4 linked regions of the Alligator mississippiensis genome follow. The protein of the gene in region 2 interacts with the protein of the main gene of each other region in a biochemical or structural test. Links are inferred from orthologs where the notes say so. Each region holds a gene or a part of one and is shown on either strand. Other genes may lie near its edges.

Region 1 (7,960 bases), on a different chromosome or scaffold from region 2:
CAAATGTTTCCCTAGAAGCACTGCAAATGCATTAACAAGTGTTGCATTCAGCCACAGTTTTAATTGATGGTATGACACAATACTGCTAGGTTACTCTGAAAATGTCTGTTCTAAAGAAAATGGTTATACATTTTCTTTAGGCAAAAACATACACGACTATGGCCCCAAACAATTCCTTTTTAAGATATGAACAGTATGTTCTAAAGTCATGGTGTGTGACTCATCTATCTGCACATTTGCTTTAGTAAGTAACACAGAACTTTAATGTACTTTCAACCAAGCTGGTTAGGAATGGCTCACATCAGTTATAAGTGGATCTTTTCAAATGCATGTGTTTCATAATAAAATGTCTTAGCTTTAAGCTGGAAACACATATTACATGCAATGGTAAGCCCTTTGTAGTTCTTGTTTACTGGGGAAAAAAAGCATCCTTTCCAGAAATAAATTGCAGGAAATGGTACAGGTTGATGTGTTCAGTAATCACTGATGGTATGATCTCTAAGGAGAGACATTTTTTGAGGGCCTTGCCTTTACAAGCTCAAATAAGACTTGCACTTTCTGAAAGAAAAGCATGCCCTAGTAAAGGTTCTATTTGTTTTAACCCAGTTTTCAGTTATTTTAATTCCTATGATTTCCTGAATATGTCAGCCTTGTGTTTTTACTTTTCAGGGAGTTCTGGGTGACAATGGCATAGTACAAACGTTTCTAGAAATCGGAAAACAAACCTGTGGAAGAGCTTAAATGTTCAGACCAATAAAGTATAAGTATTTTATTCTGGTCAGATCAAGTAATTAAACACTGAAAAGTTCATCTTACTGATATATTGGGAAGGTCAATAATTGAGTTTATTCAATTGTTTATCTAATTTCCTGTAATGTTGTCCCCAGAACAGTAATGATGTTCAATATGCAGAAGTCTCATCATTGAACCCATATATTCTTTTCTACTTATTTACTAAGGACATCTCAAAATGTCAGGAAATCCACTTCTGCTGCAATAACTGTAATGACAGCAAGAACATAAAGTCAGGCTTCAAGCTCTAAATGCTAAGGACAGGGCTTCACTTACCCCTAACTGCAGAGTGAAAATACAGAATTAGAGAGGTGATTGTTCCTATGCATTTACAATCCTGACACACAGCTCCATTTAGCACAAAGCACCTTTTAAACCCTTAGAAAATGTTACAGTTAAGAGAGCCCAAACCCAGGGTGTGCTACAATGTGCTTTCCTCAAAATGGAGGCAGTGGATTTAGAACAGGGATGATATAAAAGTAATAGTTTGAGATGGGAAAGAAGGGAGTCACTGAAGAGAGATTTGAAGGGGGCAGAACTGGGTATTGCTGTTGAAAAAAGGAAGACAATCTGGTTCAGATGCAGGAAATGGTATGACAGAATGCTTCAAGCCCAGAGTTGGATGAAAAGTATGAAGGCAGCAGTGAAGCGAGTGAAAAAAGCACAGATGTGGGTAAGAACCAGATCATATCTTGAAGGTGAGGATAAGGAGGTCAAACCTAATGCAGGAAGAGGAAGCCAATGACAAGGTTCAAGAAGTGAAGAGATGACTTAGTAAAAGCATTTTTAAAGATTGTGAGAAAAGCATGGTGCATACAGTAGTTGGGACCCTTGATATTACACAAGCTAAACTGCTTCTATGAAAACAATCTTTTCAGATTTCCTCATTCTATTTGCATTGCTATAACAAAAAGGTACTTGACATTTCTAAACTGTCTTTTAAATCAGAGAGGTACCAAGCCCACAGCCCACTGGTATTTGTACTGAAAGTATTGCCATAACCATCAGGGTGCAAAGGTCCAATGTTAAGATTCCCTATTATGTTCAAGTATGCAACATAACATTATACAGTACTTTGGCTGAAGCCATAGCTGTTTAACACAGTTTGCAGCCTGCTGTTTGGATTTTTGCTGGATTTGCACAAATTTTAGTGAACTTGTTTACTGAACTTTTTCAGGGTTTCACATTTGGAAGAGAAAAATGCTTATTTCTGCCTCCGCTTTTGTTCCAGAACTGCTTCTCCTGCCATTTCCCTTTTCCAAAACAACCCATCACCAAAAAATCCAACTTTCAAAATTGGTTTATCCGTTTTCATCATCTTTATTTTCAATCAAAGGATTTTGAATGTTCACTACCAAAACAAAATAAAGAATTCCATCCTCTCCTGTCCTGTTGTCACTCCCAGCTCACCGGTTATGTGATTGTCAGCAAGTCATGACTGGGTCTAGTTTAAACCAGGATCTAATTCAGCTACAGCTGTTTAACTAGAAACAGGAATTACTTCACAGAAGTCCAGCAGCCTGTGTGTATGCAGGAAGTAAAAAATGCAGGTTTGCAGTAGTCCCTTCTGGACTAGAATTTTTGGATCCTTCTCTGTCTAAGAGATGATGTTCTTTCATTCTCACTCAAGAAAGCAAGGTAGGAAGTAGTTCAGTTCCATACAGCACAAAATTCCAGATTGGTTCCCACGCTACCTATCCAGAGCAAAGATATTACAACTAGACCAACATATGTTTTCTAATAAAATATTGCTTACTCTTGACATTTTAGTTGCTTTACTAACTAAAGAGAGTCCAGACAAAACTGGAATAGAATCTTGAACTAGCTTATCACATCCCTTTGCTATGATCTGGTTTATTAGAAAGTGAAAGATGAATTAGTAAGAAATTAACACTAACTTCTTCACTGTTGTTTTTTAACTGTCCCTGATTCTGCCACTTAATCACTGTAGCCTTAGACATATCCACTCTCTCTACCTCAAGTTTTCCCTTTGGTAAAACCGAGATTATAATACTTGCCTACTTCAGTGATGAGGTTTAATTTCATAATGCTTGTAATAGAGTTGTGTGTATAATGCTTTTTATCAAGTATTTTAGAAGCACTAATACAGCAACAATGCTTTTAACTAAAATATTATAAAGTGAAAATGCTTTCTCAAGTTTCCTATTTCAGCCATAATTACACTGAGACATGACTGAAGCCCATGTTTCAATTGGTGAAAGGCAATTTTATGAATTTCACAATCTAATCAACTAGAGTTGTGAACTCTTAATAGGAGTTGAACCCAAGGCAAAATTATTAGGCATCTTTTCCAAGAGAGCTATGGCATAGATATGAAGCTGTAATGATATGAAGCTGTAATTGGTATTCTTCACACCTGGGCCTAATCAATGTAGTTAGTACATATTACTGTAGGCTGTTACAGATGTCATTTTCCTCCTGCGAGATGACTGTATTTTAGTGGTTGACACGGTGATACCTGTACATGTAAAATTAGGGGGGGGGTCTTTGGGAGCCTTTTATACCAAGGCTGGTATGGATACTCTAGTTGAAATGAGGTTCTGGATTTGATGCAATTTCCACCTTACATGAATTAGACAGTTATGAAAGTTTCAGTAATAAGATTTGGATTCCTGCTGGACTATTTATGAGTTAACAGTTATACTGTAAGTAACTAGCATAATTTTACCTAATTTTGCCAGAAAAATTGTGACCCCTGCTATCAGCGTGGCTGTTGTGTGCAGCTGTTTCTTGGATAATTTAAGGTTTTAAAAATAAGTTCCTGTTTTGTTAAGTTTTTCTTTGTTAGGCCCATGTTAAAGTGCTATAAAATTACAGCCCCTATTTTCCAACTTACAATATTTAGGCTTTACACCAGTTGCCATAGAAAGAGCAAAATACGTTGGGAAACTTGCCAAACATAGGAGCACAATCAGCAGCAACAGGGTACAAGGGAAAGAAAGATGCGGTATTCAAGCTGGAACGAACCCTGAACAGGGTCCAATTAGTAACGAAAGGTTATTTGTCTTCAGTCCAGTTCTTAATGCGAAGAGCCGTTTGACATTTCAGTGCCGTGTTTCTTTGCGGCCAGGGCGCCAACCCCACAAGTTGAAGGAAACGTGAGTCGGACTCCAGAAAAATCACTACACAGCCCCCAAATTCAGGGTGGGCTTCCTGGTCTGGCGGTTTCGAACCCACCGAGGCATGTGGGTGCGGCGACGTTCTGGGCCACGACAAAGCAGAGGGCAGCGACTGGGCCTCTCGCTGCCCGGGAGGGCGCAAGCTACCAGCTTTTACCACGGCTGGTTTCTCGTGCCCAGGCTCCAGGCCCCATTGCCGCGCGCTCATGCTACGTGACCCTAACAGCCGTGGGTCCGCCAGCGTCCGCCACCCAACCCTGGGCCCCCAGGCGATGTGGGGGTAGGGTGGCCATCACAGACGACAGTCCGGTTGTCCTCTATTGCTACAGAACCGGATGCCTTTATGTCTCCTCTCTTTTTCTCTTGAAGCGAAGGCCTAAAAACAGGGCACATAAAGGCATCGGGTTTCGTATCAACATAGGAGCAGACAACCGGAGAGTCCTCTACGATGGCCGCCCTACGGACACCCCGTCCCTCCCTCCCCGCGCAGCTCCTGGGGCCGGCCCCTCCTAGGGTATCGGCAACCCTCCCCGGGAGGCCGGTCCGCCCCAGCCCCCACGAGTGCTGCCGGCCCGGGAAAGCGGACACCCAGCCAGAGGGTCCGCGGACAAGATGGCCGCCGGCCGGGGCTGCCCCGCCACATGGCCCCGGGCCGCGCCCGGCCGCGCCGCGCCCTGCGGGGGGAGGGGGGCGCGGGGCGCGGGCCGCAGCGCCTCACGGTGTCCGGCGAGGGGGATCCGGCCCGGCCTCCGCACCCCGCGCTTGGCGCGGGGAGGGGCCGGGGGCCGCGGAGGGCGCGTGCGCGGGGCGGGGCAGCGCCTCCTCCCCCCGGCCACGAAAGGCGCCATTTTGGCGCTTGGCTCCGGGGACAGCGAGCGCCGGGATAAAGCAGCAGCCCGCCCCGGAGCCGGCACCAGCAGCGCCCTTCGGCCCGGCCCGGCTCTCGGCGCGCGCAGCAGCCGGAGCGCGAGGCGGGAAGGGAGAGGAAGGGGCGGGAAGGGAGAGGAAGGGGAGGGGAGGATGCCGCGCACGCCCCGCCGCTAAGGGAGACGCAGGGGCCCACCCGCCGGCCCGCCCAGCCGCACTCGCCCCTCGGCCTGGCCTGTGAGTGCCGCCGCCTCCGCCATGTCGTCCGCCGCGCGCTTCGACTCGGCGGACCGCTCGAGCTGGTACGTGGGGCCCGTGTCGCGGGCTGAGGCGCAGACGCGGCTGCAGGGGCAGCGCCACGGCATGTTCCTGGTGCGGGACTCGTCCACCTGCCCCGGCGACTACGTGCTGTCCGTGTCCGAGAACTCGCGCGTCTCGCACTACATCATCAACTCGCTGCCCAACCGCCGCTTCAAGATCGGCGACCAGGAGTTCGAGCACCTGCCCGCGCTGCTCGACTTCTACAAGATCCACTACCTGGACACCACCACGCTCATCGAGCCCGCGCCCAGGTACGGACCCCCGCCCCGCCCCGCCCCGCATGGCCCCTCCGCGCCGCCGTCCAGGTGCGCCCAGGTGAGGCGGCGCCGCGCTGCCATGGGCCCGGCCCGGCCCGCTGCGGCCGCGGGGAGGGCGTGGCCGGCGCTGGAAGCGGGTCCGCCCGGGGCCTGGGTGCTGCCTCTTGCTCATGGGCCCGGCCCAGGCACCGCCGGCTTCCCCCTGCTGCGGCCCTCTCCTGCCTGTGCCTTTTGGGGCGGTTTTAAGCCCTGGCAGTGCGGTGGGCAGCCCTGCTTGACTCATCACATGATGTAATGACATTCATGACTGATCTGCTGTACTCGGGAAGGCGCATTTTACCAACTTACGTTTTAAAAACCCACTGGACTGCTGCATAAGTCGGATTCAACATTTTAATGTTTATGTTAATGAATGCCTTATCATTTATCGCCCCCCCAGGTGACTCTCCGCAGTCTCCTGGAGACTATATCTTAATTCCTGGAGCGTGCAAGGCAGTCCCGGAGGGTTGGCAACCCTACCTGGCAGAGCTGCTCTAGGTGGTGGCTTCATGGTCCTTGGCCTGTTTTTTAGGACTGTATTTTCCATGCGTTTAAAGCCGAGCCTCCCTATGGTGGGGGGTTGAAGGACCTGCCGTTGTCCATCTGACCCTGTGGTGTGGAAGGGCTCTGTATCTGAACATGTGCATCCCCCTGCCTGCGGCTTAGGGCTGGAAAAGTTTGATTTCTTGTATGGGGAGGGTGGCGTTTGCAACTGGTGCTGACCCATGTTGATGTGACCCCTGCCCCAGCTGTGCTAGTGTGACTGGTCAGCTAGTGCTTGCCCTGATGTGTGAGGCAGTTCCCAGCTCTTTGCATCCAGTACAGACCCGTACAGCTGAATCATAAGGGAACATAGAAGCAAATATTGATAGGCCAAGTGCTGCTTTTTTAAAATGGGGTTTTGGCTTCCTTCCTCTATTTGAGCAGTTTAAAATTCTCACTGCTTGCATCTGCTCATGACTTCTACTCCTTCCTATTCACCTAAATTGATTCTTGATCAGATTTGGAGCCAGATTTAGCTTTGCCTTTAATTACTAAGGGTCAAATATTCTTGTCCAAAAGAATAAGTGCCTGAAGAAGGAGGAAAGCTTGGAGCTGTCAAGAAAAGCTTCTTGGTCGAGATAGCAAGCAAGGAAGCAGTTCTCCAAGGAATGTGGTAGAAATGTCATTCCTTAAAACTTTGAAAAAATGGTGTATAGGTAACGATTGTGCTTTGGCAGGAAGATGCCTGGGCTGGACGTTCACTGATGCTCCTACACAGCTGCAGGAGCAGTTGGATGGAGATGTCCAGCATTTCTGTACAAGTTTGTCAGTGGAGGAATGTGGCTCGTTGGTGACGCTCCTTTGCAGTCTTTACTTGCTTTCAGTTGCTGGTTGGGTGCTGTTCTGTGACTGGGTTTTCTTTTAACCCATTTGCTATTTTGATCCTATTAGACTTGATCCAGACAAATGTGCATCTGGTATCTGTTTGGAGGTCTCAAATTATGCATGGGTGGATTTGCTTCAATTATATTAATATGCAGGCAAAAGTACCATAGAAATAAATCCCTCTTCCTACAAAAAGAGTTGGGTTGTCAGTTATGTTGAACTGCTGAGCTTCCTGTAACTATTGCAATACTGCAGTTTGGACTCATTACAAGAAAAATCATACTGTACCCAAAGCTGTCTAAATCTTTACTATGAATTTTTGTACTAAAGATTAGAAATTCAGTGACTTCATTAGGGTGTAAAGTCTTCCTAAAAAGAGGCCACATTCTGGAAGGAAGAGGTCAAGATGTAATATTAAAGAATACGTTATCCACTGGCTCTTCTCTTCAGTGAAGTTACTCCCTCCAAGACCTTGGTTGGGTAGAAAAGGGCATTATGCATAACGCAGAACTGCTTGTTTGTATAGTGAGTGAACATTTGATGTACAGTAGCATTTTTCTTTACGAGAGCTGACACTATACTTCAGTAAACATTTCAGAATCATCTATATATCGGTAACCTTATTTTGAATTGGCCAAGAGTTTGTCCATCATGGCAACAGCCTCCATGCCCTCTTTTGGTTGCTCTTCACTTTCAGCCAGCATTAAAATTGTCCGCTATGTAATATATTTTTCATGGTAACTAGATTTGTACTTTTTATGCGAGTATAAGAGAAGTGAAGATGCAAATACAAAGGCACTAAAGTACCAGCCACAGGGTTTCTTACCATGTTGTTTAACTCTCACTGGTAAATTCTGTCTCATTTACATTTGTACTTCCCAAGTAATTACCGCAAGTCATGTTGGACTAGTGGTGGGCAAAGTACTGAAGAGGCATTTTGGTGAGTTGTAATTGTGAATTATTCTCAGAAAAAGTGAATATGAAGATGGATAGTAAGTGAATGAATGTGCTGTAAATCGGGGGTGGAGGATATGTCCAAAATATGGACTATGGTCAAAATCCAGCCCACAGAGCCGTATTATCCAGCCCCTGATGCTGCCCATGGATCTCAGTCACCCACAGGCAGCACGTCGGGTATTGCAGGATGACCCTGCGTGCTGCATACTGTGCTCACTC
Region 2 (7,429 bases):
ACTTCAGACAATGCACATACATAAATAAAAGAGATTCACCCCAGGGGTCAAACTACATGTAAACCTTGCAGTCACGCCCAAAGTAAATGGCCTGTGTGCCTGCCCCACATCCTACAGGTCAGGCTCAGTTCGTTCAGACCACCCACTGTCTAAAGTAGTTTTGCAGCAGTGACTTTGTAATGCTATAGACTGAGGGAGTTTCTACAGGTGCCTGAGCTGTGGATACTTGAACATGAGCACGGCAACCTGTATATGGGACCACACACAAGCTGAACTCCATCCAGAAAGGACTGGAGCTAATGTGACTTTTAGCCTCTGCAAAGACCTTCCAAAAAATCTCAGATCAGGCTTCTTAATGCCAGGAGTGTTAACAGCATGGTGCTGGTGTTTGCTTTGGAACCCTGTCATTCTGATCTCACCAGAATATCCCACATTCCCCACACGGGTTCCCTTTCATGGGGATTTGATGTGGCTGTTCATGTAAGATATTCTCTTCCAGGTAAACATGACAAATCAGGTTAGCATGTGAACTAGGGAAAGTGACTTACTATCAGGTGTTTGCTAGGATCTCACCAGCAGAATAGGATGGGGTGTGGACAGAGAATGTGTATGAGAAAGAGAGAGGCAGACAGACACACCCACAGGGAAACCCAAACAGTGCTCTTGCAGCAGTAGGCACTAGGCAGCTCTCCCTCTGAACCATAGCAAGCAGGGGCATAGGCTCTGTCTTTCAGCTGAGGTATCAAGCTAATTTACCCTTACTTGATATAATATGGGAATCCTGTGGGATTCTGCTCCACCCTTCAAGAGCAGGTGTCCTGACCAAATAAATTCTGCCAAGTGAAATCCTGCTCCCTCCTGTGGATTCCATTTGAAGGAGTTTTCCTTTTACTTCCTGTCAAACTCTTGGGTAGCCTTCTTCTGGACTGTGACCACCATGTCACCAGGGCCAGCCTCATGGCACAGCCTGCTAAAGGATATAGACTATCTAGACTCCTTCCACGAGTTCCAGCTAGCCTGGCGCAAGTAGAGGCAGAGCTTTCCCTCAGCACAGAGAAGGTAGGACATAGGGAAGGCTGGTTGTAAGGCTCTTCTGCCAGGACTACACCTGGCAAAGTCTAGACTATGAAGCAGCTCCACCCCAGCAGTGGCTGCATCACCATGCAGTGAGGTTATTCTTGTACATGTGAAGTCTGTGAAGCACTTCAGGATGCCAGGTCTGACACAAAAAACTATTCTTTGAGGCTCAGGGCCTGTTATCACTAAATCGAGGGTATTACAGAGCTAAGAGAAATGGGCATCAAGTGGATCTGCCTAATCTGCCAGTCCTGCCCATACCCAGCTAAGGAATCAGAAAATGCTCATGACTTGTTTGTTGCCTTCATGAGGTAATTCTTACCCACCCCTTTCCCCTTCCCAGCCCTACCTGCTAGATTGCCTTTCTCCTCTCCCAGGGTGAGAATTGCCCCAACAAAATGTACTTGTAGCCATAAGGCCGCAGCCTCACAGCATTCAGCTGCCATAAAGGGCTTGACCCAGCGGGTAGGACAGGTGAGGTGGTAACAACACTGCCATCTGCATCAATGCAGAGAACCCACACCTTTGCCATCTAGCTTATTTCCCCATCAGGTGTTTTGTAACCTGCTAAACAAACACCTCTTTCCAAGCCTGCTGCAAAGCCCAGCTAGAACCCCACACTCCCAATTTTGCAAAGTAAACTCCTCTCTGGGTTATCCAGTGGCCCAGATGCGACCCTACGGACACCGAGCTAAATGCAAGTGTATGTGCCGAGCCGCGTAGCTCATCCAGCACCTGAGAGGCGATCCAGCCGGCTCCTACCAGTTAGCCACACTCCCCTTACTTCCCGCACGCAGAGAGCAAAGAGTGCCAAGCCTGAAACTTTAGTGCCTGCCTTATATTGCTTTTTTTTTCTGCTCCAGAAGCAAAATCGCCGACCGACCAAACAATAAAACCTCCCTCCACAGATCCGAAATGTCTAAGCCACCCTCTGCCTCAGCGCAGCAGCAAAGGAATGAAAGAAACCATTTTAAAAACCAACTCCGTCTCTCTCTCCCGGCCCCGCACCGCGGCCAGTCCCAGAGCGACTGCAGTTCGCTCGCTGCCTTCACGGTCACGTCCGATTGTGGCATGGTGCCGGCACAGTGAGACGGGGGTAGAAAAGCAGCGATCGCCCTTTTTGGTTGGGGTATGAACCCCACGAAACAACACTGGAGTGGCGGCTGAAGCGGGCGGGATCACTGCAGGGCTCGCGGGCCCTGGTCAAGTTCGCGGCTCGAGTAATTGACCAGTTCTTCTCCTGCCCGGCTCCCGGCTCCCCTCGCACTTGGCTCTTCGCGGTGGGGAGTTTGTTTTCTGCTTTTCCCGGCTAAATCTTTGAGGAACTTCACCGCGATTCTTCCCGTGGGTCTGATCTCTGCCTCCACGCGAGTTCCATGAACTTTAGCAGAAGTTTTGGGGGGTTGCTTTCCACCCACTCTTCCCGCCCCCCCCGGGGGTGCTGGAGTCCGGAATATTCAAGATCCAGAGCTGCTGCCTTCCTTCCCTCGCATCCCACCGGCCCTCTGAAGTTTCTCCCTTTCCTGAGCGTCCCATTCCAGTTTCCAACCCCCTCCCCCATTTCTTTCCCCCCTCCCCTCCGTTTCCAATCTGACCCACCTTCGGTGCTCCAGAAGCCTGGCAAAAAAGAGGCTAAAAGCAGCCCCATGAAGAAGCAGCAGCTGCTGGGAGAGATCATCGTTTTCATTGCAGACTCCAGCCCATGGCTTCTGGCAGAGAGAGGGGGGTCCGGCCAGGAAAGTTCGCGCGTGTGTTTTCCCTGCTTTTGCAAGCTCAGAGACACACCACTTTGCTACTGCACTTCCTCCTCGGGACGTGCGGCGCGCCCCTGAGCTGGATTCCAACTCCCTTGGGAGTGGTAAGGCACTCCGTGCCTGCTCTGTGCCAAGACCATTGTGCGCCTCCTGGGAAAGCAGCTTCTCCCTGTGCTGCCGCTTCAGGGTCAGTCCGATTTCACTTTGCTCTTTGCCTCTTTCGTTCCTTCTCAGCCCAGCCCGGGCTGCCCTGGCACAGATCTGAGTCAAGTGAGAGGTGAAGAAATAGGATGACACTGCAGCCTGGAAGGGCTGATCTCTGCCTATGCCTTGGTGGGGGGGAAATCTCTTTTTCTAGTACCCCCAAGCTGGCAAACAGCTCTAGGAATCACTCCAGGGAAAGACAAAAGAGAGTGTAAGGGAGAGAGGCTTGGCAGATGGGTTTCACTGCCATTCTGCAGGCTGAGGTTGAGCAATGGATTTCCAAAAGAGTGCAGTTCCCAAGACACCAGTGAAATACGTACCTAGGTTTTCCAGGGGGGTTGAAGGCTTTTGAAGGGGATGGGCTTTTAAAGGCTTCTCTCACTGGGAAGGGTTGGGCCCTGGGCCCAAATTAACACCAGGATCCTTTGAAGAATAGGTGTAATGCCAAGCATAGGCATTACACCTATCTGTGAATCCCAGCCTGTCATCATCTTCAGTTGGCTGTGAGGGTGCTGAACCCCTTCAAAAGGGAAGGAAGGTGCAAGTGTTAGGATACTCTTGGGCTTCCTATCATAGGAAGCCCAAGAGTCATAAAGACAGGGCTAGAAGGGACCTCTGGAGGCTATCTGGTCCAACCCCCTGCCTATCTTAACCATCCCATACAAGTCCTTGTCTAGCCTGTTCCTAAAACCACACAATCAACCCAGCTGCACAACTGCAAGGAATATTGCCCAAAGACACCACAAACACCTTAACCTACCTCATGTAAAGCAAGAGGATGTGGGCTGCCAGTGTCCTGTGGCCGCCAGGTTCCCTATTTTGCTCCAGTGTGAGACTATAGTAGGTAAGTCACGTAAGGGTTGAGCCTACGTTGACGTGCAAAGATACCCAGACTACCATTAAACAGCTTGGCTCACAATGAGCTCTGTGCAGCTGCTCCTGTACAGCAAGTTTGGGTATGTATACACTGGAGAATCTGCCATGTAGATGCACTGTGATCCAGTCCCCACTCTGTATAGATGGACAGTGGCACTGCCCTGCCACACTGCAGTGTAATAATTAGCAAGGAAAATTGTGGGGTACTTAAATATGATGGCACCAGCTCCCATATCAGTAACTTCAGCCCCTCAGAAATCAGACTGTCTGTTGGTGCTTGCCGCCTTGTCCCTCCTTCAAGCTGTAAGAAAAATAGTCTGATCTTGGAGTTTTTAGCATCTCACATCACCACTCCTGCCCCTGATATTTCTTAATTAGTGGCATTTCTTGATAGGAGAAATAAGAGTTGTAAATTGCCAGGGTGGTGTTGTCACAAGGAGATTATGTGGAGATGACCTCCTTACACTCCAGAATCCAAGCTTTCCTTAAGAGGTGTTTATGGGAATGTGAAAAAGTCTTCAGATCCTGGACTGTAAATAAATGCTGATCTTTGCTTGAATTTGCTGAAAGTCTGAAACAAAAGATCCATGGGGTGTGAACTGCCCCTTGCTGCCTGGTGTTAGCTCTGAAGTCTGTGGATCAGGGCTGATACATTTTACTTTGTGTATTCACTGTTAATTATGTTGCTGCTGATAAGGATATCTGAGAAAGGAGAAGGGTGAAAGTATAAGATCTGTAAGTGGCCTTTTGTTCTGACCTCTCAAGGGGAGGAGTTTGGTCTGTGGGTGGAGCTTGAGAGGCTCCCAGGATGGATTTCTTGGCCTATTCAATCCCTGATTGGTAGATGAACCAGCATCAAGATCCTGAATCTGAGCACTGCAAAACTTTGTGAAAAGTCAAATTGGATTGAAACTGAGCAGCAGAGACCTCTCTTTGCTTCTGGGTGAGGAAATAACTGGTACTACTATGGGCTGGATGCCATGGAAAAGTCCTAATTAGGATAATGAAGGTAAATTTGGATAATCAGTAAGGCCCGTTATGGCCTGAAAATCTGTGGAAAGATGCCTTCCAGCCTGCCCCATCTCCTTACCTTGCCAGGAAGAAAAAGGATCCTATAAAGTCGGGGCGGGCAATGATTTTGGGCAGAGGGCCACTTACTGAGTTTCGGCAAGCCATCAAGGGCTGCATGACAGGCAGCCCAGGGCAGATTAATATGAATTTTCTAAATTTTTTAGGGGCCCCGCGGGCCAGATAAAATGGCCTGGCAGGCCACATCTGGCTCCTGGGCTGCATTTTGCCCACCCCAGCCATAAAGTGTTATGTGAGAGGGTAGTTCTAGCTCACTGAATAGAGGGTGTTAGCCTGCGTTGATTCAGATTATCCAGACATGAGCGTGACAAGACTAAAAGCCCCAAGACAGATCAGTTACTTTTGCTGCTTATTGTTGGAGTTCTTTAGGGAGTCAGCATTCAAGTGCCATTCATGCACTCAAATGGGCCAATTCCAGTGTGGATGATGCTCTCATAATGTTGCCATTCCCCCTGATTTTTCAAAGGACTCGTAGTGGTTTTGCCCCAAGGCTGAATTTGGTCCCATATCCAGCTCTGCCTTCTAAACTTCAGCCCTCCACACTGAAATGTAACTGAGCGCTGAGCCAAGGAGTTGTCACTTCCTTACTGCAGGTTGCTTAATTTAGTCAATGCAGGTGACTGGGAGACAGGACTCCCAGGTCCCATACTGGGATCTGTGCCATACCCAACTGGACCCCTTCAGACATGTCACTTCACCTTTTTAGGCCTCAGTTTCCCTTGCTCTAAAACAGCACAACGGATCTTAAATACAGGAGACTGTGAGGCTTCATATTCTAAGGTCTTTGAACGTGGCGGGCAGAAGGCTTCTGAGGGGTACAGTATCTCAGAGTTATTCTTCTATATAATATACTGTATCCCAACTTAAGAGCAGCCTCTTCAGTTTCTCGGTACAAGGAACTGTTGCTAGTTAATACTCTTAAGATAATGCGTATGAGAAGAGCCCGCTAGTTAAAATCCTAAATGTTTCCACTAGCACAGGGTAGTTTGGTTATGTCCTGGAACGTCTCTAAAGTACATGTGCGAACTGGATCTGAGTGGATATTGACATGATGCTGCTGCTGGGAATTTGGTGCTTACTGCTTGGTGCCTGTCCCCAGCCTGAAAAGACTAATATGAGGAGCTTGCTCCCTTTGGCAGACCTCACTTCATTTCCTCATGTAGCTGGAAGTTGTCATCCGGGCTACAATAGACTGCCACAGTTCTGTCTCTGAGTTGAAGGAGAGCACAGGGCAGGGGAGGGTGGTTTGGGGGAGGAGTTGGGTTGACAGATTACACCCCGGGGAGGAAAATCTTGGATGAAGGAGGGACTATTAGAGAATGAACTCCATTCAAGCCTCTGCCGAGCCCTTCAGGCAGCCAAGAGGAGAAGAAAAAAAACCCATCTGTTGTTGTTGTTTTATTTATTTTTTCTCTCCCTCTCTTTCTTGCAGCAGTTTGAAAATGGGAGGGAAAAGAAAGAGGGGAAAACAAGTTTATTGCTCTGTGTTCTCTGTAATCTGCACCTGATAACAGCCAGGCCCTGCTTTACAATTGCAGCAATTGTGCTTTGGTTGAGATGTCTGTGTGTGAGTGAGCAGAAGCAAGTGGAGTGCAAGGACTGGGAAGGAAGAATGAAGGGAAGGGGAGCCTCTTACATTGGGGGGGAGGGTTAAAACACAGTTGCATCTTGGAGGGTAGCCCAGAGTGAGCTTGGTAAAGGATGTTAGCTGATTTGAAGACAAAGAGTTTGGTCCCATCTAGCATTGCAACTGGCTCTCTCTTTGTCAGTGATTTTACAGCACTGTTTTGAAAGGAGTTTCCATGATGGAAGACCCATAGCTCACTTAGGCCTGGATAGTTTCAAATCAAAACCTTCTGCCAATTTGGCATGAAGGCACCCATGTTATCTTTCTTAGGCCTTCTTTACACACAGAGTGGTACTTGAGGATTGGTCTGCCTGGAAAAGTTTGCACCTATTTTTACCTAAAATGGGAGTGGGTAAAGTCTGGGTCGCAGTCCAGATCCGGTCAGTAGTGGACTCCATTTCCCAGAAGCCCCAGCCCAAGTAGCTGGGGCCAGTTTCCATGGAGACCCCAGCAGCAGCCAGGGGCCAGGGTTTCGGTGGAGACCGACCCCAGCAGCGCCAGACTCTTCCTGGTGGGAGGCCTGGAGGGGCTGTGCTGCGGGTGAGAGTGGGGCAAGCTCAGCTGCTGCCACCTGTGTGGGGCAGGCAGTGATGGCAGTGGTGCTGGGAGGAGCTGGGCCAGAGCTGTGATCCACTGCCTGCACACCCCTGCCTGGAGCATGCAGGCAGCCAATTGCAGCTCTGCCCTGGCCCTGCACCCTGCCAGTGCTGCTGGGGCCAGTCTCCATGGAAACCCTGGCCTTGCACTATCACAGTGAGGCTGTTGCTGGGGTCTCCATGGAAACTGCCCCCAGCCAGGCAGG
Region 3 (8,016 bases), on a different chromosome or scaffold from region 2:
CTCTGTGAGCATCATAGACCTGATTTTCTTCACTGTGCTGAATACAAGCCTTCATTCCTGTATTAAGTTCACTCCCTTTCACAAAGCCTTGCTAAAAAGAGTCTTCTATCAATCTGCTGCTGATTCTACACAGCAAGTTGCAATAAGCTCTTTCTCATATGAAGTACTGATTCAGTTTGGTGTCAAAACTGAGACAGAAAACACACACACACTGGGTGCTTCTACATGTGAGCTTTACTGTGGAGTAGATTAATTAGGTCCACACTAAAGTGTCACAGTCTATACATGCACTGGTATTAAGGCACAGGAATTAACTCCGCCATAGTCTGTCAGGGACAGTACTATCTTAGGGCAGAGTATTTGCATGTGATTGAACATGTGTAGGCTGTGACATGGGCTAGTTAGGACACAAGGGTGCTAAAGTGTGGGGGCTGCTTCCAGGCTAGCCCCACGCTATAGCACCCTTGTGCCCCAGCCGGCCACTTTGCTGCCCTCTGCCACCACCCTGAGCCTGGGGCATACCCCCAGGACTTTCTGCCAGTCTGTGGCTGCTCCACCCTGGCTGAGACTTCTGTGGTTCCAGGTGCACATGTAAATGCTGTGCCTTAAAGCACATGAGTGGTGCAAAGTGCACCAGAGTTTATTGCATCTCACTAATAGCATGTCTAGATGCACCCACCTACCCATTCACCCACACACACCACCAAGTTCTACAAACTATGTGCAGAGGAATAATTTAATAGTTTCATTGACCTTATATAGTCCATAAAAAGCAGTTGTATGATTTCAATCCAATATTGCTGTTATTTTAGATTGAGAACACAATTAAGCTCACCACAAACAAGCACTATGTATACTTCATTTCTGTCACACAGACTGCAACAAATCTGAAAATAAAACAACTGTTTGCTTCTGCACACAGATTTCACTGGAATAGAAAAAGAGCACTTTGCAGACAAAACAAAGCATTACCGTTCCATAGCCACAAATACCACAATTCTTGGCATCCTTTAAGAATTTTAGAAAATGTCCATTGCAGTCATTTGACATCAAAATCCTCCTAGGGTATTGTTCCTCTGCCAAGCAAGCAAGGCCCAGTGCAGAACCAATCTGGACAGCAAAGGAGGATTAATGCTACCCTTGTAACTCCCCACTCTTGAGGCCTCCGAGAAAGCAGCCAGAAGTGGTTTGATCCCATAGAACATTTCAGAGCACCCCAGGTATTAAGTGCTAAGTTGCTCCCTGCTGCTCTGAGGAAGCTGTTCTGGCAGCTGGGGGTAGCTGTGTTTTGATCATACTTCCCTTGCAACAGCCCCCACTCCTATACAGGGGGTAGGAATATGGGGAACAGCTTGATCCTTTGATATTCAGAGATAATTTTCAGGAATCCAATTTTACAGCCCATTTGTACTGATCGGTGCTGAAGAACTGAAGGTCTGATGCTATGTCTTTTCCATCAAGACCTCTATAACCATCAGTCATATGTATGAGGAGGGAGTGGGTTTTTATTTTTTCAGCTCACTGGCATGGTTCTTTCAGGGGAACCACACCACAAGCATGCTCTCAGGTAGGAAATAAACAGTGGGAGAAAGAAAAAAAGCTGCCCTCTTCTCTTCAAGCTTGTGTTCTCCTTCATGTAAAAGGAGGAGTGTACAGAATATAAAGAGGACAAAATAGACAATAAATTTCCACTCCTGGAGATTCAGTGTTTTCATGGAGATGAGGCTCTGTTATCTTGTTAATCACTCAAAAAAAATTCTTCCATGTATCTGGAAAACCCTGTAGAACATTTAGCAAACTACATCTTCATTTTCAGATGAAAACCAGTCCTTTTATTAGAAGCAAATCTGAGGCGATAACATGTTATCAAATCTTATGTTGCCAAAACAAAGAAGCCAAGTCACTTAAAAGCTAGAAAGCACTATATTCAGGAGGAGGGAACTGCCTTGACTTTGAAGCTTCACTTTGGCAGGGCATCCAAGAGGTTTACGGGCATATCAGTTCCAAATTCTACCCTTCTTTATGATTTTGCTTAAACAGCTCCATTTTAGACTTATTCAATCCATACCCATTAGTAATTAGTTTCCTAAATTTTTGGTTTTCTGCTACATTTTTAGTCAACAGTACTTAAAATTATATTTGCCTTTGTCCAAAAATGGATAGATAACTCCTTAATAACACTGCCACCACCAACGAGAAAACGAAACAAAACAAAAACCGACAGCCCCCCCATATGTTTCCTCCTCCAAAAACAAGAAAAAAAAGCGATATTTTATTCATTTACTGTTTCATTTTCCTGTATTAAAATAAATATTAAATTGGCAGTGAAGCTCAGTGACAGTTCACTTCTGTTTCCTGCCTGAATTTAAGACAGTGCTGATAACCCTCAGCTGATATTTGGACAAAGGGATAGAAAGCTTCCTGACAACTTAAGAAAAAAGTCTCTGCATATTGTATTTTTCATGCCCTGTCTTGCTAGAAAATGCTTTCCCAGCGCTTCAGTCTATTATGCAAGTTATTTCAAGGTAACAAAAACTCACTGTTCATGTCTCCAATACTGAAGCAGTTAATAGCATGAATAAAGTTTGCAAATAAAAGCAGCAAGTTTTACATTTAAAAACTTTCAAAATGCTTCATAGAAGAGTCCTTCAGGTAAAAACGCTTCTCTTTTGCCCATCAAGCTTACAAGTTCATAAAGGTAAAGCTAATTGCTTCTACATTTATTCATTTGAAGACTTCTTTACTACTTCCCATACTTTTACAACTACAATAGCTAAATTTTTTTCTTTCATTTTCTCCATTTCTTATCAAAAATCAAATTTTTCACACTTACATTTTTCTGGAGGATAACTACACGATTGCAAAATCTCTTGCTCCACCATGGTGCTCTGTGCTGGATATTTCTACAGTCCCTTTAATAGTGTTTCAAAAAGTATTTTGGAAAGCCAAGCTCACTCATGCAAACCTCTGATCTTCTCTTGTACATTTGGCTCCTAGGTGCTGTCACATGTTGTTATTTTCCCTTCTGCGAAACCTGTGAAACAGGTCTAGGAACACACATTTAACGTGTCAGAAAAGGTTTTAATTGATTCATTGCAACAAATATCCACCCTTAAAAATGCAGCGTGCATCTGATTTGTGAATGGGAGTAGTCACCTAACACTTCATTTGAAGTTCCAGTACTTACACAGTTTTACAGTCCACATGCTTTAAAACAAAACTAGGTTTAAATTTGGTACTGGAAAACCTGCAAAAAATACAAGGGGTTAAAATAAAGATATACTGCATAAAGTAAATACTGAATAACCAACACAGTACAATAAGTATATTATACAGTATTATAATTTTGTTTTTTCTTGTGATATTTGGGTGCCTTGTGGTAACTGGAATCAGATAAAGCCTCCTTATATGTGCTGTTTTGGACTACTTTATTTTTATGGTACATGTGCAAAACAGTGACAAATTAAAATTTTGTGTTCAATAATGTAATTGCTTTCAGTCATTCTTTATGTTTTGTATTTATGTGATCTATTATGCATACTTCAGACTCCTCGTCCAGCAAAATAATAAAATTGGGGATTTAAGATAGTGTGCTGCTATGGAATAATTGGTGGTTTTCCTCTTTTAAACATTTACTAGTTTGTTTTCTATTGAGGCAGGCACAAAACTCCTATTATAGACTTAAGTGCAACATTATGACTGATCATTTAGGAAAGTTGTTCAGCAGTAAGCGTTTGAGCCTCATAACTAAAATGATTATATTGTGTCTGAAACACCAGAAACACTGGGGTACTTTGTCAATAAATAAATATTGAGTAATTGTTAAAAAGGCTTTTCTTTGCCAGTTACTTTATCAGGGGCGGGCAATTATTTTGGGTGGATGGCCGCTTACTGAGTTTTGGCAAGCCATCGAGGGCCACATTAATATTAATTTTCTAAATTTTTTAGGGGTCCTGTGGGCTGGATAGAATGGCCTGGTGGGCCACATCTGGCCTGCAGGCCACATTTTGCCCACCCCTGCTTTAGATGATGCTTTTTTTAAATAGTTATTTAGCCTTGGAGCTCCACATCACACCCAACACTGGACTGTGCCTTCATGACACGCTCTGATCTTTCATGATTTGAGCTGCACCAGTCATGGGAAGTGTTGCTATAGGAACATAGCAAAGTAGGACTGAAAACAACCTCACAAGGTCATCTAGTTCAGGCACTTGGTCAAGACAGGATCATCCCTGTCTAAACCATCCCAATCAAGTAACGTCTCAACGTACTCTTGAAAATGTCAAGGGCTGAAGATTACACAGTTCATTTAAGTAGCCTGTTCCAATGCTTGACCTCCCTCATAGTCAGAAAGTTCCTCCTAATCGCCAACCTAAATTTCCTCTGCTTCAGTTTAAGGCCATTACTCCTAGTCCTGTCCTCTATGCCATAGAGAAAAGTCAATCTTTATTCTCCTAAGGTTCACCCTTCAGTTATTTGAAGACTGTTATCAAATCATCCCTGCCCCCAGTCTTCTCTTCTCTTAAATAACCAACTCTTTAAGCCTTTCCTTGTATGTCATGCTTCCCAGTCCTCTAATCATTTTTGTTTTTTTCTGCTGGACTGATTCCAATCTGTCCACATCTTCCTAAAAGTGTGGGGCCATCTGCCACTTCCTTGTGTGCTCGAGCAGGGGGGAGTGTGCAGCTCTTCCCTGGGTGCTCCAGTGGAGGAGAGAGCAGCCAGAGCTGTTTCTGGTCTCCCAGCGGGTGCTCCTCCTGTCTCCATTTTCCAGCCTATTTTTGGCCTGTTGCCCCTGGGCTCTGGGCCATTCAGTGGGGCTCCTCTGGTCAGCATGGGGCCGACTGGCTTGGTTGTAACCTGGCCACCCATGCCTCAGTACAGAGGCAGGTCCAGTGTGTGCCTATTACACCCAAATCCTCCTTTTTTCCCTTCTACTGCATGCTTGGCCATACCATAAGCTACTGAAAGTGAGGCAGCACTGTCTAATGAAGAGGTTCTCAACCTTTTTAGATTCAAAGCAGCCCTCATTAGACTCAAGGCCCCTCTCAAAAAATACCAGTTCTTTTAACTGTTTTTTTTTACTACAGAAAAATACTAGAGCATTTCTTCTGTTGCAAAGAAAATACTAGAGCAATTCTTTTGTTGCAATTCTCCTGTAGCAAATGGGAGGTATGGATTCTGTTCCTGACTACTTTTGATTTGCTCAACCAGTTTGGGCAACTTACTTCATCCCTTGGGGCTTCTGTTTCCTGGTCTGTAAAAGGGGGATAATTACTGTTCCCATTCTTCATAGAGTACTTTGAACCTTCTGTAGGAAATGTGACATGAGGGAGCTAATGTTTGCTATTAGTCACTTGTAAAATATTGTAACAAGGAAGACAGTAGGCAGCTGACATTTGAAAGACCAGAGATGGGAAGTGCTGCATTTTTAATGGAACATGAACTTATAATAATAATTTTTAAAAAAGAGAGAGAGATTGGGAAATTTGGCAAATGATCATTTTTTCCCTCACAGTGGGACCTTGTGAGAGAAACTAAATCAATTCTCACCTCTAAAAACAATAAGTCTTCCTAGAAACAGCAAGCCCATTGCCCAGAGGAAAATGAACTCATATGGACATTTCCTGCCTTTATCTCACCTGGATAAATAAAAGTCTGTCATTTTAATTCTGTTGGCATGCCATATTCTCCAAGACCATATGCTTTCACTCTCTCTCCCCCCAAAATGAACTTTTTCACATGGAGGTGGTCTTGAAAATACAGATACAAGTTCTGATAAGGTTGTATTTTGTAGTAGCTAAACTTATCTTTGTGTTCATTTTTCATATGTTTTGATACTTCAATATGAAAGAATTGTTTGTGTGCAGACACATTTGTGTGGGTCTCTTGGCAGAGGGCTTCCACTCAGGGCCAAACTAGCCATATAGGCAGCACAGATGGCCACCTAGGAAGGCAAATTGTAGGAGTAAGGAAAAACATTTCTTTGGATGGGCACACAGAGCATGCATTTGGCTGGGCCCAGGCTTGGCATGATGCCACCACAGCAGCAGAGAAGGCTTTATCACAGGTAGGTGCCAGACAGGGACAGCATAAACAGAATCAAGAACCAGCAGGTCAGCCTGGCAAGATGCTGCCATGGCCTGGCCACTCAGCACCCTGTATGCCATGGTACCACAGGGCTGTTCTGAGGGGCAAGGTGCTGCACCACTGCTAGTGCATGGGGGACTCTGGGCAGGCTCCCAAGGGACACTGCTGCCACTGAAGCTACATTTGAGTTGGGGCACAGTGGCATGGGGGCCATGCCTAGCTTCCTGAGGCTCAAGGACAGGGCAGCCACACCACATGCCACACTTCTAGGTGCAGCAGCTACTGGGAAAAACCTGGGGGGTTCTGTATGATGCAGAAGGGGCTGCCTAATGTCAGGTCCTCCAAGAACAAAAAGGCAAGGTGGCAAAATTTCATTTGCCTAGAATGGCAAAGAGTCTTATGCTAGCCCTGCTCGCACCATTCCCAAGCTGGAACTGTCGGCAGGTTGTACCATGGGCAACTGGTGCCTCTTGACTCAGGGGGCCCACGTGCCCTGACCGGGGTAGGGGGGAGGTGTCCCTGTGGCCAATCACACTTACCAAAAGCAGCCACACCACTTCCAGAAGTCCCATAGCCACGTCTGGAAGCAGCTTGGCCACTTTTGCTGGTGGCCCCACTCCCCAGCTGGTACTTGCAGGGAGGACGCTGGCACTCCTGCCTGCCCCGCTGCTGGTCGCCTAAACAGGGAGCATGGCCTGGCAGGGGGTGCACCAGCATTCTCCGGGGGTGCACATGCACCCCTGTGCACCCCCTATGTGTTGCCACTGAGTTGTACCATTATACAACCATTTAGAGATGAGTTTGCCACAACATGGGTTTCTAGCAAAGCCAAGTCACTGGATCCATTCCAATATTTGTACACCCACACAAAAATACTCATTAATTAGGCATAAAGTTGCTAGGCTTCATATAATATCAACATTATGAAATGTTCACTCATTTAACACCTACCTTCTCCAGCAGTTGACTTTCTCCTTTTGAGTTCCTTTCCTCCTGCTTCACAGTCCACATACCTGCACCCCCATCTGAAGAACCAAATGACACCCATAAGCTCTAGTATTATGTGCTGATGACTTGCATATAGTTAGGCTTGGTAGAATTGGATTTTTTAAAAAATTCCAATGACTAAAATTGATGTTTATTTTTAAGCATTTATTTAGATCTTTATTGATTTAAATTTTCAGGATAGTGCGAAATTAGGGGTGAGGAGGGCAGATAATTTAATAATGACAATATACTGTTAAAAACACTATAAAATCACATATCATAATGTGAAAAATAAATATCCATAAATTAATAAATCATACCTGCTTTAAATCAGTCTATTCATTTGGTAGTACATTCATAAAAAAGTAAAAAAAATAAAAATAATTTAAGAACATAAAGACCCTGGGATGGCAAAAAAAAAAAAAAAAAAATGAAAAGGACAAAAAAAAATCACCAGATTTTGTATTTTTTCTAATTGGAGCACAAGGGAAGTCCATCCCAACCTATAGGAAAGGTGGTAAAAGGGCTCAGCAACCCCTTTAGCTCAACAGGGAGCCCATGGACCTCCTATGTCTAAAAAGAAAGACTTATAAAGGATGGAAAACAGGAAACACCACTAAGAAGGAGTATTCGGCAGTGGTCTGCACCTGTATGGAGTGAACTAGGAAATCGAAGGCTGCAACCAAACTGAAACTAGCTACATGAATCAAGGACAATAAAAAGTCCTTTTTCAGATATGTGGGGAGTCAGAAGAAAAACAAGGGCAACATTGGACCCCTGCTAAACCAACTGGGGCAGCTGACAAATGACACTCAGGAAAAAGCCAATCTACTTAATGATTACTTTGCGTCCAGTTTTCACCAGCCCAAAGGGACCACTCTGCCTAACATGATGTGGGATGACCAGGGTAAGGGTGAATATATGCCCACCATTGGTGTA
Region 4 (6,836 bases), on a different chromosome or scaffold from region 2:
CAGAGTCAGATGGAAACTGAGCCTCTTGGAGAGAATTTAATCACAAAGAGGGAGCAGCCAGGGAGGAGCCTAAGCCTTCCTCGGGCAGCTCTGCAAGCTTAAAGGGAGCACCCCGGCAGCAAGGATGTGCTGCTGTCCCCGTGCCCCCACCTCTGTCTGGAGGCTGTGCCCGGGCACCGGGCATGCTGGCAGGTGGGTGCCGTCAGGCCGGCTTTCCCTCCAGCTGTTGCAGGGTGTCCCCTGCCTCCCCCCTCCCTGCCCCTGGAAGGTGCATGTCACCTGGCTCCACGGGTCCTCATGCTTCCCAGGCCGCCCCGTCAGCCAGATTCAAGCCCCCGCGCCGGGTCCTGCATTGCTGCAGCCTCATGCCAGGCACTCTCCGTTTCCTAGAAGGCAGGGTAGATTTGCACCTTCTAGAGACACACACACACACACACACACACACACACACACACACACACACACACGTATATTTATAGCACAAGCCTTTGTGTGCTGAAGCTCACTTTGTCAGATGCTGCAACTCAGTTTCCTGCCCTAGCTTCCAACTTGGGTTCCCCTGCCACAGTGAACCGGCTCTTTCAAGCAGGGGGAAAAAATCCCCCCCAAAACAGGCCAAATAGTTTGAAGACTGTCATGACTTGGGAGCCTAGCTGCATCTGGCTGGACGTGGCCCAGCAACCCCCACGAGGCACCGGGCTGCAGGCTCCCAACAGCAGCCGGCGTCAAAACCCCCTTCGTCGCTCCAGGATTACAGGCAGCCGGAGCCAGGGAGGAGAGGGGATGGGGTTACCCACATTGCCTTCGCAGGCAAGTGTCCGGTGTCAGGTCAGACGCTCTGCGCACGCTCCTCAGAGCCGGCCCTGCGGATCCAGGCACACATCCTCCCCCCAACACGCACCTGTCTTGCAATCCATCACGAAAAGAGCAGCTCGGACCCAGAAGGGAGGACGGCCCGGCCTGAAACACCCCGACGTGCTCGCTGCGCGGAAGCAGGGTGCAGCACCTCACGGCTCTCCCCAGGAGGCTGTCTCTTCCCCCGCTCGCGGGCACTCGGGTGCTGTCTGACAAACCTTCCCCTAGACCCTTCCCGTCAGGCTCCTCGGCCCGCATCAGAACCATCTTCTGGACCGAGCCCGGTGAGGTTGTGAGCGCTTAAAATGTTTCTTTAAAAAAAAAAAAGCCACTGGGAGGTCTCCCAGCATGACTAAAAACACCCAGACTCCTGCTCCTCCGTACAGGCTGGGATAACCCAACCGACTCGGGTGGAGTTATCACCGATTTACACAGCGCGGGGAAAGCAACCCAGGCCGTACGTGCACACACCTACACAACACGCTCCGGGAGTAAGCGGGCCGATCCTCATCTCCGTCCAACGCCAACCTAGAGGAGCGCCACCGGCCTGGCTCGCTCCGAGGCCCCTAGAGCGCACGTGCTGCTCACAGCGGACGAGGGCGCCCGCCGCGCGGAGGGGAGACGGGCCAGAGAGCACGCGGGCCCGCGTCCCCAGGAAGGCACACGCGCCTGCTCTCGCCGGTCGCTTCCCTCCCCTCTCTCTCCTCCCAACACGCCCTTTGAAGGTGAACGTGCTTCAGAGACCCGCGACGAAGACAAGCGCGCCAAAGCCGCGCTCGCTTCGCTTCGACTTCAACTGAGAGCGCTGGAGCTGGGCCCGCACCCTCGGCGCGCGGTGGGACGTGAGTGCGCGCGGGGTGCTCCACGGCCACGCGCGGCAGGGAGCGCCACTACCACCCGTGGCCCCGGGGCCTCCCCGCCGTGTCCGCGCGCACACGTCCTGCCGCCTCGGCGGCCAGGGACAGGGGGCACTTTTCAAGCCCACATTGCTCCCGCGCCCGGAGCATGCACACGCACGTGCACAGGCAGGGGTGCATGCACACACACACACACACACACACGCGCGCGCGGGCCGGCCCTACCTGCAGCAGCAGCAGCGGCGGCGGCGGCGGCGCGGGGCCATGGCGCGGCGGCTGCACCTCGCCCGGCTCGGCCGGGCCGGGCTGGGCTGGGCTGGGGCGGAGCTGTCCCCGCGCCGCTCCCGCAAGCTCCGCCCGCGCCTCGTGCCGGGCGAGGAGGGGCAGGGGTAGGGGCAGCGGCAGCCCTCCGGCCCGACTCCTCTGCTGGAGGGGCTGAGGTGCCCTGGGTGCCTCACCCTGCCACGCGGGAAAGCCTCCTCTTGCCCCGGGTGGGCGCGCACCTGACGAGCCCCGGCTAATAGCCAACACCTGCGCGCAAGGGCGAGCGCGCTCCCGCCCCCGCCCCTGCCCCTGCCCCTGCCCCGGGCCGGGCCGGGCGCTGCTCCCCCGCAAGGTGCTCCGGGGCTGGGTGCAGGGCAAGCCGCAGGCCGGATTGCTGCCCGCGTTTCTGGTGCGTAAGGCGAGGGATGCAGCTATACGTGGACCCCCGGTGCCATCTAGCGGGGCCTTGGCGCAGGGTGGCGGAGACCTGTTTTCTGTCTCAAACAAGAGCTTTTTATAGGGCATCAGCTCTTGAAAGCCTCCTCATTCATCTGCCTCTGGCCAGCCCAGGGAACAAAGTCACGCTCCAGCTCCAGCTCCAGCTCCGGCTCCGGGGGGGAGGGTGCCAAGGCACAGAGCAGGACGCCCCTCTTCCGGCAAGGACAAGCGGGGACGCCTCGTCCTGCATTCGCCGCACGTCCTGCTCTCGCTGCGGCACAAGAGGAGCAGGGCAGAGCGCCGCAACAGCGATGCCAGGGCGGTGCGTGGCGAGCAGCTGGCACGCCGGACACCTGTGCTTCGATGCATCCGTCACCTGCCAGGAGCGGTGCTCAGGGGAGTTTTGTCACTTCCTGAATTGTCGTTAGGAGTAAGAGTGAATAATAAGCTGCTGCAAAAATGGCATGCACGCGTGCTTCAGGGAGATACGCTGGAAGCCGGAGGCAAGAGCCAAGAAAGAAGAAGCTTTCACCTCCCTGTCTGACCTCGGACACCTCCAGGGAAGAAGCCGGCCTCGTCCGAGCATCGCAGAGCGGCCCTCTCGCCAAAGGGCCCTGAGGCTCCCAGGGGAATAAACTCCCACCTCTACCTCCCCTGTGCAAAATGAAGTTTCTTTTCTACCTGGGAGAACTCGGCCTCAAGAAGGGTGCGTGTACCCAAAAGTTTGCAAAGAAATCTTTTTTTTTTGCTACTGTTTAGTTGGTCTCATCATCAAAGAGCCCACCTCTGACCCAAGAGCTCCGTTTGTGCACAATGCATGCTGGCATCCTCCACGTGGCTTCCAAGGAGGATCTGCGAACCAGACGTGCCTTGCCTTGGTACCACAGACAGACCCTTGCCACTCGAGCTACCCAGCGCCTGTTGGCCTCTGCGGACAGCAGCTCCTATTTGGACTCGAGGCACCCCGTGCCAGGCTTACGGCACCCCTTAGAAAATGCCAGTGCTTACTTTTCACTCATTGCTTGACTGTGGAAAAATAATCAAGCAATTCTGCTGTTGCAAAGAACTCAGCAAGACCACAACAGCTCAGCATGTTCTTCATGCTCTGGCGTCCTATTCGAGGTCTCTGGGTTTCTCTTCTTGGCACATGTGACACCAAAAGGATCTCGGGGCCCCCGGGTTGAGCATCACGGTGCTGGAGGGTCACCTTGCCAGGGGTTTCCCTTGCCATTTGCAAAATGACAGCAGAGAGCAGGCGCGCGCTGTCTGCTGCTGGCTTTGAGGGGGCTCGGATCTCATGGGAGACAATCCCAGAGACCTGGCACGACAGCAGCGTGCACGAGACTCGAACCCAGCACACTGGAGTTTGGCTGGAAACGAGCTCTTGCAGCCTCTCCGCTGGCTTATTAGTAACATGAAGCGGGGAGTGGGGGCAGACTCGTACTGATCGTGGCCTGAGGAAGCACTCGTGAACCTCCCGAGTGAAAGAAGTGAGCCCAGCCTGCATGGTCTCCTGGTGCTCGTCTCGAGCGCGTTTCCTCTCCTCTGTGACTAGTGGCCATGAACTGGAAGCAGGAGCCGGAGACAGCTGGAATCCAGATGTTTCCATGAGGCGGGGGCACTGCAGAGCCCAGCTCCGAGGGGCAGCGCCAGGCACTTGCACCGAAACGTAAGAATAGAGGAGGAAGCGCCGTGCCATGCGGGAGACCCGGCTTTCCAGTCCCCGCTGCGCCAGAAGCGGAAGGGAAAGACGGAGGGTACGTTCCTGCCTCTTGCTCCCACTGAGCTGGCCGCCCCGGGTAGCAGTCAGGCTCCATCGTAGCCTGTCGCAAATCTCCCGCTGACGTCGGGGGGCTCAGGAATTCCCCCACCGTCCCAGGGACAGTGAGTGGGCAGCCAGGCCCTTGCAGGCCAGCAAGCATGTTACCAGCCCACCCCTCTCCTCTAGCTCACTCTCCCAGCCGCTTGTCAGGAGGTGGAGGCCAGTAGCTATTACCGGACGCCCCCAAAAGCCTCACAGCATTGTTATTTATAGCCCACAGGCCCTTCCAGTCCAGCTTGCTGCGGTGCATGCTGCACAAACCCAGGCCAGTCAGTGACTCAGAAGTCTCTTCTCTTCGCTGGGTGTTTAAGCTCCGGTCTCTGCGTAATAAACCCACTGACTCTCCAGTCATCCAGCAAAAGCAGGAAGTCCTGACCTCACATGCTCTGGGTAATGTTTAAACAGCCTCCCCGAACCACCACCGCTGACTGCTGAGCCTGCCTTTCCTAACACATGTCCCTGGCATCATAAGTGCCTCCCGGTCATCAGTGTATAGATCACAGCCTGGGGGGCAGGGAGACGCTGGTCCCCTGTATTCAAAGGCTGCGCCTATACTGCACAGTGCCGCGGAGATACCCCAAACCTGCCGAGGGCGTCTCGTGGTAAATTAGCCCCGGCAGAGCCCTGCTCTGCTGCGAAAGTAGAGCTCACTCCTGCATCCCGACACGGCGCTGCACTGGGCAGGGTGAACGCGCCTTCAGTGACTGGCCCAAGGTCATACAGAAAGGCTGTGGCACAGCTGGCATGAGAACAGTCTTCCCTGCCTTGAAACCTGGGACAAGGGAACAAGCCGTTTCCCCTCGCCCATGACCTCAAACTGCTCAAAACGCGAATTTCCCAGTTTTTTAAACAATTAAAATTCCCAACTTCAAAATTTGGAGTCTGACATTCCCACTGTTAAAGCAACCCCCACCTCCTTTCCCTTCCACTTGTTCCCCAACACGGCAAAACATGGGGCTCTGAAATAGTTTGCAATTTCCATCAATACCCGGACAAGGTACCGCTGAGGCCTGCCTTGGAAAGAGGTCTTGGGTGTCAGGCCCCAGAGGGGATGCTGAGGGCGAAGAGATTCTTGCAACAATGCCATTTTCTCTCGGCTGCTTCAAAAGACTGTTTTCCAGACGGGGCGACGCAGAGGTGGTGAGCGCAGGATGAAGCTCAGGGCACAGAGCTTACAAAATCACCTTAATAAAAATAACCTGTATGCCCACGTCCCCATACACAGTGTAGCTGCAGCTTCTGAGATCCACCTGTGCCGGGCCGTGGTCTCGTTCCCAGGGGAGATACTGATTTCAGCAGTCCTGTTTGATTTACACAAATCCGAGCAGGCAAGGCTCGTGCGTGCCAGCCGTGACTGCTGCGGCTCCGCCGGGGAGCCGTGAAGGAATGGACTGAGATAGGTCTATCTACTTACTTGCCACGTGTTACACCACAACGCATCTCCACGTTCCCCAGCCAAAATAAGCAGCACAAGTGGAGACCAAAGTGTGCAAAAGCAAGCAGGCTGGGTGTGGACTGATGTTTCCATCCCTAGACAGCTCCGTCTGGATTAAGTTGATGGGAGGCCATCAGAGCCAGAACAATAGGTCAGTCTGCACAAGAGAGGAAACCCTCTTTAATTAATGAGCCAGCCAGATAGCGGCCTGCCCAGGGGGTTGTGTTTAATTAGTTTGCTCTTCCGGCCTGCTTACTTACCTTTGTGCTCGGCTTCTCAGTATCAAGTCGCCTGGCTCCCCGCAGCCCAGACCGAGGGCGCGGTAGTTTAGCAAGGGGCGTTCGTGTGGGAGGTGACGAGGTGCATGCATTGCCCTATTTCATGTTCATTTACTACGGGGAAGAAAGGGGGGTTCAAACAAAGTCTGCGGGCAAGGCTCAACCACCCCCGCCCTGTGCTGTGTTCTGCGGTTTGCTGCATGGAGACCTCGCGCTTGAACCAAACTCAGCTGTGTGGGCAAAGTTCTCCCACGTACTGGTGTCAGACTGGCTTACGGCCGTACAGTCAGTCAGCTGGCACCGGGAGTGACCGATCTGATCATCCTCAAGCCCTTGCTGGAACGAAGCCTTTTGGGAAGACACCAAACCCTCCTGCTGCCTTTGCTGCAGAACAGAGACACGCTGCCATCTCACACGCTCAGACGGGCGTCTGGGTAAAGACCAAGTCCAATTTCTGCAGGTGATTCAAAAAACCCAGAAGGTAATGCCTTTTGGGATTCCTATCCCTTGTTTCGCCCTCCCTACACCTAGCCAAAGTCCCTGACCTCTGCAGAGCAAGAATCACCTCGATCTTCACATTTTGTCCAACACTGCTTAAAGACAGCAACACTCATTTCCACGGTGGCTTATGACTGGCGTGCAACTCTCACGCCTGGACCCGCAGACACATTTGTGTCTACTTTCACATGCACAAACCTGCCTATTGGGGTCAAGGCACTTGAGGTGCCTCCATTATTCACAGCATTGGGTGCACTGCTGTGTGGCTGGGCTCCCCTGGCACTTGTCCGGTGAGCAGTAGCTGGGTGGTTAATGGTTTTGTGTTCAGGAATACATGCAACAAGATGTAAGCGTGTAAAAGGAGTCAGCTGGAAGGGAAGAACACCATG

Evidence for each region.
Region 1: the proteins of ERBB2 (region 2) and CRKL form a complex in vitro, tested with the Homo sapiens proteins (2 studies listed by BioGRID and IntAct, with this or other methods). The link is inferred for Alligator mississippiensis from reciprocal best matches to the Homo sapiens genes ERBB2 and CRKL.
Region 3: of the proteins of ERBB2 (region 2) and PTPN3, one has a biochemical effect on the other in vitro, tested with the Homo sapiens proteins (2 studies listed by IntAct, with this or other methods). The link is inferred for Alligator mississippiensis from reciprocal best matches to the Homo sapiens genes ERBB2 and PTPN3.
Region 4: the proteins of ERBB2 (region 2) and SH2B3 form a complex in vitro, tested with the Homo sapiens proteins (2 studies listed by BioGRID and IntAct, with this or other methods). The link is inferred for Alligator mississippiensis from reciprocal best matches to the Homo sapiens genes ERBB2 and SH2B3.

The regions. Positions count from the first base shown.
Region 1 is NC_081833.1:18,949,722-18,957,681, reverse strand, and holds the start of CRKL (crk-like protein), read left to right. Parts: upstream 1-4,956; 5' UTR 4,957-5,057; coding exon 5,058-5,371; intron 5,372-7,960. UniProt on the Homo sapiens protein: May mediate the transduction of intracellular signals.
Region 2 is NC_081827.1:165,333,970-165,341,398, forward strand, and holds the start of ERBB2 (receptor tyrosine-protein kinase erbB-2), read right to left. Parts: upstream 3,004-7,429; 5' UTR 2,765-3,003; coding exon 2,677-2,764; intron 1-2,676. UniProt on the Homo sapiens protein: Protein tyrosine kinase that is part of several cell surface receptor complexes, but that apparently needs a coreceptor for ligand binding. Essential component of a neuregulin-receptor complex, although neuregulins do not interact with it alone.
Region 3 is NC_081828.1:77,596,240-77,604,255, forward strand, and holds the start of PTPN3 (tyrosine-protein phosphatase non-receptor type 3), read right to left. Parts: upstream 3,019-8,016; 5' UTR 2,883-3,018; coding exon 2,834-2,882; intron 1-2,833.
Region 4 is NC_081833.1:3,531,314-3,538,149, reverse strand, and holds the start of SH2B3 (SH2B adapter protein 3), read right to left. Parts: upstream 3,003-6,836; 5' UTR 2,502-3,002; coding exon 1,938-2,501; intron 401-1,937; exon of another isoform or gene 280-400; intron 123-279; exon of another isoform or gene 1-122. UniProt on the Homo sapiens protein: Links T-cell receptor activation signal to phospholipase C-gamma-1, GRB2 and phosphatidylinositol 3-kinase.